Linked DNA regions of Bombyx mori. The protein of the gene in region 1 interacts with the protein of each later gene in a biochemical or structural test. Links are inferred from orthologs where the notes say so. Each region holds a gene or a part of one and is shown in the gene's direction. Other genes may lie near its edges.

Region 1 (4,297 bases):
AGTATATTCAGTCGGCATTGGTGCGCCATTTTAAGAAGGCGGCACGACACGAAAACCCTCTTGTCGTGGCCGCCGGAAATTACATATACGATGCTGCGGATCAAATGGTAAGCAATCGACGTCGCTCTAAACACGTCATATTGGATCCTCCCGATCCACTAACGGTGCTTTTAAGTACTTCAAGCACCGGTCGCCGTTCTAGTCGAATCCGTCGGTTCCGACGAAGGGTTCGGCGAGTAAACTGTCCCATAGACACAGCTAAGTTTCTCTCAGTGGGTCGCATTTCCGATCCGGTGGTAGATTCTGCGAAGCCCTGCTCTTGCTGGGGCCAGTGCTAGACACGCCTCCTAGTTTGAGCCCCGAGAGCTCACCCACACATTCGGGTTACGCTGATCTAGCCTCTCAAGGCTATCAGCTTAATTAAGAATAAATAAATCATTTTCGGTTTTAGCTTTTTAAGTTATTGAATCTTTCACTAAATTATTTTAAAATACGTTTCCTTGGGTAATATCAAGTATGTTTAATGTGTAATATATTTATGTAGTTAGATTATGATAAACCATCATCATGTATTTAAAAAAAACAAAATAGTTACCTCTACTATTTTATCTGCATAGATTAAAGGATAGATAGTAAGATTTTAAAATTTGCTATTATTCTTTGAAGTAAATATTTCGTCAAGTATATTGTTTTTATATGGTTGTTCCGCCTTTCAAGCTACAATTCATGACTGATTCATACGGTCGTCTGATAGCAATACTAACGCAGATAAACACGTTACAGGTTTGATTTCATACTGAGATGTTGGGCATGGACATAATCGCAACATTAAACGATTACACTGAGCACCTGTTCATTTTGCCTAGTATGCCTAATTTACATAATTTTATCTATTAAATGAACAGTTTTCGAAAATTCGATATTTGACAGAGCATTTATTAATTTCTACTACAATAACATAATCAAAACGATGAAAACAGCACATAAAGCAACTAAATTATAAATGAGCTGAAGTATGGGCTCAATTTTGCTCAAGGTTCAAGTGACATGTGGGATCATTCATCAATTATGTTCGCTTTTCGATTTCGGAATATTTACGTGTATGTGAAACATATTCAGAAAGTTAAACTACTAGATTTACTAATGCATTTAAATTAATTACTGTGTTTGGAAAATGTGTGGAGTTTTTGCGTGTATTGTGTTATCATATAATCACTGTAATATATATAATACAACAACTTAGGTTAAAATAAAACTTTTGAAATGGGTCATTAAATTTTTCTGACTATATTTTTTTATAGCAACATTACTTCAAATTGTCAAAAATGACGTTACACAAGATGGCGGGTTGCTAGTTTCGATTTTGTCTTTAGGGTGCAAATAAAATTACTTTGCCAGCTTACAAAATACAAAAATCGAAACTGATGTTAAATTAGTTCATTCAGTTCATTCAGTCACAGAGTTGGTAGGATTTTGACGAAAACCATTGCATTTGCGTGCAACGAAAACGGTTTTCTGCCTCGAGTCTTGTGTGAAGTGCGTTTACTGTGTGTGTTAAATCAAATAAAATTAAACTGTAGTGTAAAAGCAAGTGATTTTTTGTGTTCTGTAAGTATTAATATTTACCACTAACGATTTCTAATTAGAACAGTTGTGTTTCATTATAGAGTGGAAATCCTGTACCACGACAGACGTTCAATATGGCCGTTCTTATGATTATTTTGCGACTATTTAGCAATGTCTTGAAGCAATGAATACTTTGTAAATGGCCATTCATATAAATACATATTCGTAGTTTATTCAGATATTACGTTCGACAAAGCGTAGTTGATGTGGCAATTGACAGCAATCCGCTGGTTTTGACATTTGATTTCTGACTCATTTTGCAGTTTATCCCTGTGTAATTTCAAATGCAGAATTTGTTTTGCGCATTTAAAAGCTAAATCATTACGAAACTGATTAGGAAAATAAAATACATTACAGTGTTATACCAACTTTAGCTTTTATTCTTGTACTCTTTAAATTTATTTAAATACAGGATTAGGATTACAATTTTAAAGTCTGAACATATCCAATAAACAGAGTTGAGGTAATGCCAGGGTTATGCTCATTTCAATATTATATACATAGACTTAAAAATGTTTGCGATGACATGAAATTTTGTTTATCGGTAAAATATTAAAATAAATAATACCTCTTGACAAACTAAGAGTATTAAATTGATTGTTTTAAAGTTTAAACTATAAATGAAAGAATACAAGAATACAATTGTTATGAAACAATAATTTACATATAGGTACTTAAAAACACTTGGGTTTTATGTTTTTATTGCAAATTAAGGTGTTTATGGAATACCAAATACACATCATTATTTATAATATCTGTAAATCTACAATGTTAACCAAGTCATACAAAACAATCATTTTTAATAAACCATCTTTTCATTCTCTGGTTAAAGTAATAAAAAGGTTGTACTGTGAATGATCCTTGATGAATGCTTTTTTTAAATAGAAATATAACATTAAAAATGTTTTACAAAATCTTAAATTGAATATAATTTCTTTGGTGAAAAATATGTCAAATTATTCTATTATAATTTATAATGTATAAAGATTAAAGATGTAGGTCAATTGCATAAAATCATTTTAGAAAAGCAAATTCAATCAAAAGTTTCAGTATAACAATCTTAGAAACTTTTACAAAAAAATAGCTACCATTGTCCTGTGTTAAAAATAACAGTAATACATTTAGTATGGGACAAGTAAAGATTCCCTGTGATGTCAATAAAGAATTGTAATGCATAGAGAGATGTAAAGAGCAAAATAAGCATAGTAATTATAATTTGACATTGTGATTGACCTTAGGGAGAGGAATATAAAAACATATGACCAAGGCGAGAAGACCTAGTTTTAGCCTAATCTATCCACCCACTTTAAAACAATAGTTCTAAGCTCTCAGTTTTTACAGTACAGCGGCTGCCCCACTCTTCAATCTGAAACACATTGCTGCTTTATGGCAGAAATAGGCATTGCAGTGGTATCTAAAATCTTAATTCATTATGTTTGGCTACAGGTGTGATAATGGCAACGGAATTTCCGCCGTCGCCCGCGTGAACAAGTAAGACTCTAGAGCAGTGAACCTCACGTGCGAGCCGCCTCAAGCATCAACCGACCACAATGAAAATGGTGTTGTCACAACGGCAACGAGAGGAGCTGTGAGTATATAGCAAATTTGTCACAAAATATAGGCTTGTACTTGCGATCCTGTCTTCGAAGCCAAACAATAATAATACTATTCTTAACAGCAACAATCGAATAAGGTGTTTTCATAGATTTTCTCGAATTGTACCTCTGATCCTGCGGACTGAATGGAAAGCAGTCGACGTCCCCCATAACACATCATTTCCGATCCTCCCGATCCACTAATGGTGCTTTTAGGTCCCCGAGCACCGGTCATCGTTCTCGTCGAACCCGTCGCTTGCGACGCAGGGCTCGGCGAGTAAATTAACCCACAGACACAACCCACTGAGTTTTTCGCCGGATCTTCTCAGTGAGTCGTGTTTCCGATCCGGTGGTAGATTCTGTGAAGCACGGCTCTTGCTAGGGTTCGTATTAGCAACGTCGTCAGGTTTGAGCCCGTGAGCTCACCTGCTAATTCGGCGAATCTAGAATAACCCCTCGAGGTTACTGGATATGGCAGAAAAAAAATTATCGGATTGTGCTCTAAATTAAAACTGCTTATCTTTATCTTATTAACCTTAGATGATGCAAGAATATTTTCGAATGATAGAAGCCTTTTCTACTGAAAGACCTCAAAACAAACGGAAAAAATGATGGCCCTAAATAACCTAAAAAAAACTTTTTTCAATTTCAACAACAAAAGTCATAATCAAAACTACATTTACAGTTTAATCTTTTGTCCGTGGTCACGAAAATTGTAAAGTATTCGAATAATCGGAAATAATAAATTTAAAATGACAATTGCAAGATTAATCCGTAAAAGTAGTCATAATAAATCTTAAATTATATCTCTCAAAATAATCTTAGATCTCAAATTATAACTTAAAACTAAAACTGAACGCGTGACAGCCAAAGTGTTCTCCTTAAAGATTCACATGACTTAATAAATTTATAAATTATTTTCGCGTTATTAACGTCAATTTACTTTAAGCTCCGTGTAATCGGAAATACTACAAGTTTCAAAATTAAATGCTACTTGCAATCAAATCTAACACAGAGTGAATAGGTATTAAAAATATCTATTTCTGAACAATTTAAACAGTGTGAAATAATAATTT
Region 2 (4,594 bases), on another chromosome or scaffold:
ATAAAAAAAAGTAAAATATAATTTTGTAGAACCATCATTAAAAAAGTATTGAAAATAAAATCCTTTTAATATGTGCATAAACGAACATAGCATACATTTAGTAGTAAGTAGGTATATTGTTGGTATTCGCATGACATTGCATATACCATAACATATTTACTTGTAAATGAATATGAAGGTTATTAATGTCCTAAGTCATTTACCTTGAACACATTCCTGAAGTACGGACTGCACGCTGACAAAATGACTTTGTGGGCCTTGATATTTCTACCTTCACAAGTAAGCGTCACATCAACTAAATCTTCAGAACATTTTAAGGAATCCAATGCACTCACAATATTCGATTGAAAATTGTTCCAGCGTAAACAAAATTGGTCGGCCATTCTTAAGGTTTCAATTTATATCTGCAAAAGAAAAATATTTCGCTGACTTCATTTTGACACATGACATCGAAGGAAAGAAAAAACAATTGTATTATTAATTACTCACAAACTTGTTCCGTAAAGTAAATTACATTTTAATAAAACATTCAATTTCTGTGAAAACGTATTCAAATCTTCTCTATTTTTTTAGAAAATGCACAAAAATGCAATGACCTCCATTGATTTGACACTGACTTTTTCTTTCACTTTCCTTTGTCTATGGATTTTGCGTATCTTTTTGGTCTTTATTCTATGCTTGAAGTGATGGATTAGTGATAGACCTCAGAGTATAATGTATATCCCTTTACTAAATCAAAAATGCTACTACAATTTATAGTTGATGAAAACAGACATATTTTAAGCTATAATTAACAACTCTCATAATAGCTGGAGTTCCACCTACATGCTAGAAACGTACCGTGGGGCATGCCAGAGTTAAGCTGACTATTATAATCTCCGGTGGCTCAACAGGCCATATCGCTAATACGACTAAGACAGATGTCAATAAATGTTGGGGGGAAAGGTGACATATTCCCCGAAAACTCACTCTTCACCACCTTACTCCCACTTAACGTCATTCCGATTGTCGACGTCATAACCACCAGAACTCTCAATTGGCGAGCTAAGCTGCTGCCTATTGAAAGTCTTGCGCTTACGGACTACGGGTCTATTCGTTCACTTTAATAATAAAAATAGTGTTTTGTCGTGTCGGCAACTATTTTCTCTCTGCAAAGTAATATGTCCAATGATTTGATGTATCATTCAACTTGTTCTTAGAGATAGATGAACATTATTAATTTAAAATAAAATTAAAACCTTTTAAAGGAATTTTTAAACGTTTTAGTATATTTAGTAAGGAAAACTTTTAAAGGATTTTTTTCCACGAATGAAGTATGAATATACTTTATATATTATTTTATATTACAACAAATTAGCTATGAAGAATCGTTGGTTATCTCCTTGTGAGCAATAAACACAAAATAGTGTGTAAAATGAAAATAAAAGAAAATAAGAATGTTGGTTGGTATTTTGTAATCACTGAACACGGTTTATTATAAAGTTTAGTTACGGATAATTTACTTATTCCGGTCGATATCTTCACGAGGAAATTAAAGCTTTCTCGATTTTTATTTTTCTATTCATACTTTTTGTAACCATGTAGTGCAATAAAGTCATAATTACCTCTAATAATTTCATCTCTACGGTACCCTCAAATGGAAACATAACCGTAACGTGTCAAGTTGACGTTGTCATATAATAAGTGTCAACAAATCGTTTGTTTGGCTGAGATTGAGTTGCGGTTTTTCGACTCTAGCTGCAATAATTGAAAAACTAAAGTATTACCTACGTAATTTTAAAAACAAGTACCTGTGACTTACCGTCTTAATACTAAAGTAAATATGGCAAACGATCCTGAAAGATTTGATTCCATGCTCCTAGCTATGGCACAACAGCACGAAGGCGGCGTAAAAGATGTAAGAGTAAATTATTATTTTTGCTTTGTTCACAATAATATAACAGATATAAATCATGACACTAAACAATATACTTTTATTATGTCTTTATCAAAGCGCTTAGTTGTTTCTCGTTAAATTGAATATCATTGATCGCTTGCACGTGTTGTCATAACAACACATTCTAGAAACTTGGGAGGTTACTAGTGGAAGATACCTACTTTTAAAGCCTTGATGTCCCTAATACTTTTGTTCGTAGTTTTGTTGACTTTTAGAAATAAGTAAGTTACAAGCTCATTACTTAAATATCAGACACATAATCCACTAATTTGAACAATTACATTCAAAAGCACAAAGAAAGGGACAACAGTATTATTTCTACTAATGTTAGGACAAAGTATATAATTGGAACATTTTCTTTAATTCATTGCATTTTGAATTTCAAATTCATTATTATATTCATCATAGTATTCATATTATATTCATCATAGTTATTGATCTTAAATATGATGAGCATTTTATACTGTTATGTGTTTGATAATAATTTAATAAATTATATATTTCTAATGTAATGAAATTCATCAACAACTACATTATTATTTCTTTATTTATTCTATAGGCTGAATGATCTCACAGCTCATTTGGTCTTAAGTGTTATAATTTGAGGTGTTCAGATATAAGGTGAAAGTTTCAATTGTATTGGTAGTTTCGATTGCAGAATGCATGATTTTGTGACAAAAATAGGCAGGGCAGTGTGCATAGTTTGACTTTTTAATGTTTTCAATTGTGTAAAAGTTAAATCAAATTTGTTGGGAGTTGGAATGTTTCCCTATGTCTGCTGCAAGGGGCGCAGTTGCATCTGTGAGCTCTTGCAATGTGGTCTACCACTGGTAGATTTTAAAGATGAAAAGTTTAATTATTTTTTTGTTGTTTCCAGCTGCTGAACACAATAGTTAGCTTTTTGTCTAGAAAAACTGACTTTTTCACTGGTGGCCGTGAAGGGGAATGGGAGCAGGTATATATTGCTTAAAAATAATCTTACTAGTATTTTAGATAAAAACAATATATACAGTCAAAACTGTTTACTGCGACATAGTTTAGAACAACATGCCGGTTATAATAACCTAAAACAAAGGTCCCGGCTGAATGCTATATGACCGCTGTATTAAAAACATTGCTTTATACGACATTGCTAATAACGACATACCTCATAAAACGACATAATATTTCGGAGAATTAGATCTGTTAGAACGACTGGCTAAGCTGTATTGTAAACAATTTGAATAGGTATCCACATTTGTATTAAAATCAGGAAAGGAAGCAATAGGATTTAGTTTAGTGTAGGGTCTTTTCTAATTCTTAGAAACAAAACATGTGCATGCCGTAGAGTCAAAGCCCGCTTCTTCATATCTTTTCAGTTAGTTTGTTACTTATCTATACACAAGACGCACCAAAACTTTGTGGAGTTATTCGTGAAACTTTGAAAATGTCGCGAAAAAAAAAAAAACAGTATTGAAGAAAAATCGCGTATTATATCCAAGCTAGAGAACGGAATTTCAAACAAAGACTTAGCAAAGGAATATGGTGTAGTGGTGTGAGTGGGACACTCGACATATTTCAACCATTTGGAAAGAGCGAGAAAAAACTCAAACGCTTTATGACAATAATTTTACAGAAAAATAATATGCATTGTACTTATGTGTAATAAACATAATGTACATAGTTGAATAAATATAGTTTTCCAATAATTCTCTATCTATTTGTTTGTACTTGCACGATACACATTAAACATCACCGTTTGTTACGACTATCGGTTTTTACGACTGAATATGAGCAGTCCCTTCGATGTCGTTATAACAGATTTTGACTGTATATATATATTAAAATAAAATCATTGATAACTTTGCTTAGGCAAATAGTCTATAAAAGACATTAAAACTTAATAAATTTTCATATATCATAAATAAATTTGTGGATAAGATGCATTAATTTAATTAGGCAGCAGCTATACTATGCTATTAGTAATCCCTCTTGGGTCAATAATTGAAACTTGATTTTGGATAAATCTCCAATGTACAGTTTTGTTTTTTCAGGTAGTCAAAGATACTTTCTACACCCATGCTAAAAAAGCATGTGATGAAGCTAATAGGATTAAAAAAGAAAAAGAAGAAGCAGACAAGAGATTAAAAGAGATTCAACAAAGAAAAGAACAAGAGAGACTTGCAAATGATTTTGAACCTGCTACTGTAACTGAACTCACTGATCAGGAAGCAGAGAAGTTAAAGGAAGATATTGAAAAGGACAAAAATGAAAAGAGTATGATTTCTTTTTATTAATAGTTGTATTTATATTATTTTTCCACCCAAAGCTTCACCTGCGTTATCTATAATTTAATTTGTTTAGGCACATACCCAGGAACAGAAGTAGGATGAAAGAGAGTATATTCTCTCCCAAGTTCATTTTTAAATTATGATAATAGCTTTTTTTGTAAAATCAGATTTTAATAGTAATTCAACAATAGTAAAGTCAATTTATGCTTGCTTCAATTATTTTACATTAAACATGTGACAGAATTTATGACCTGACTAGATATGCATTGATTATAAGTATGTTACCTAAAGGACTCTCAGCACTCAGTTTCTTCTATTGATATTAGACTGTTTGCACTGCTTACAACCATCTTTGACATAAAAAACGAACTGATTCTTTAAGTATACC

The links.
Region 2: the proteins of lissencephaly-1 homolog (region 1) and nuclear migration protein nudC form a complex in vitro, tested with the Homo sapiens proteins (3 studies listed by BioGRID). The link is inferred for Bombyx mori from reciprocal best matches to the Homo sapiens genes PAFAH1B1 and NUDC.

What each region holds. Positions count from the first base shown.
Region 1 is NC_085114.1:11,220,240-11,224,536, forward strand, and holds the start of lissencephaly-1 homolog, read left to right. Parts: upstream 1-1,435; 5' UTR 1,436-1,608; intron 1,609-3,072; 5' UTR 3,073-3,176; coding exon 3,177-3,214; intron 3,215-4,297. UniProt on the Homo sapiens protein: Regulatory subunit (beta subunit) of the cytosolic type I platelet-activating factor (PAF) acetylhydrolase (PAF-AH (I)), an enzyme that catalyzes the hydrolyze of the acetyl group at the sn-2 position of PAF and its analogs and participates in PAF inactivation.
Region 2 is NC_085128.1:8,585,574-8,590,167, reverse strand, and holds the start of nuclear migration protein nudC, read left to right. Parts: upstream 1-1,637; 5' UTR 1,638-1,822; coding exon 1,823-1,897; intron 1,898-2,813; coding exon 2,814-2,891; intron 2,892-3,969; coding exon 3,970-4,192; coding exon of another isoform or gene 4,193-4,197; intron 4,198-4,594. Other genes in the region: broad-complex core protein isoforms 1/2/3/4/5, read right to left, coding at 204-383. UniProt on the Homo sapiens protein: Plays a role in neurogenesis and neuronal migration. Necessary for correct formation of mitotic spindles and chromosome separation during mitosis. Necessary for cytokinesis and cell proliferation.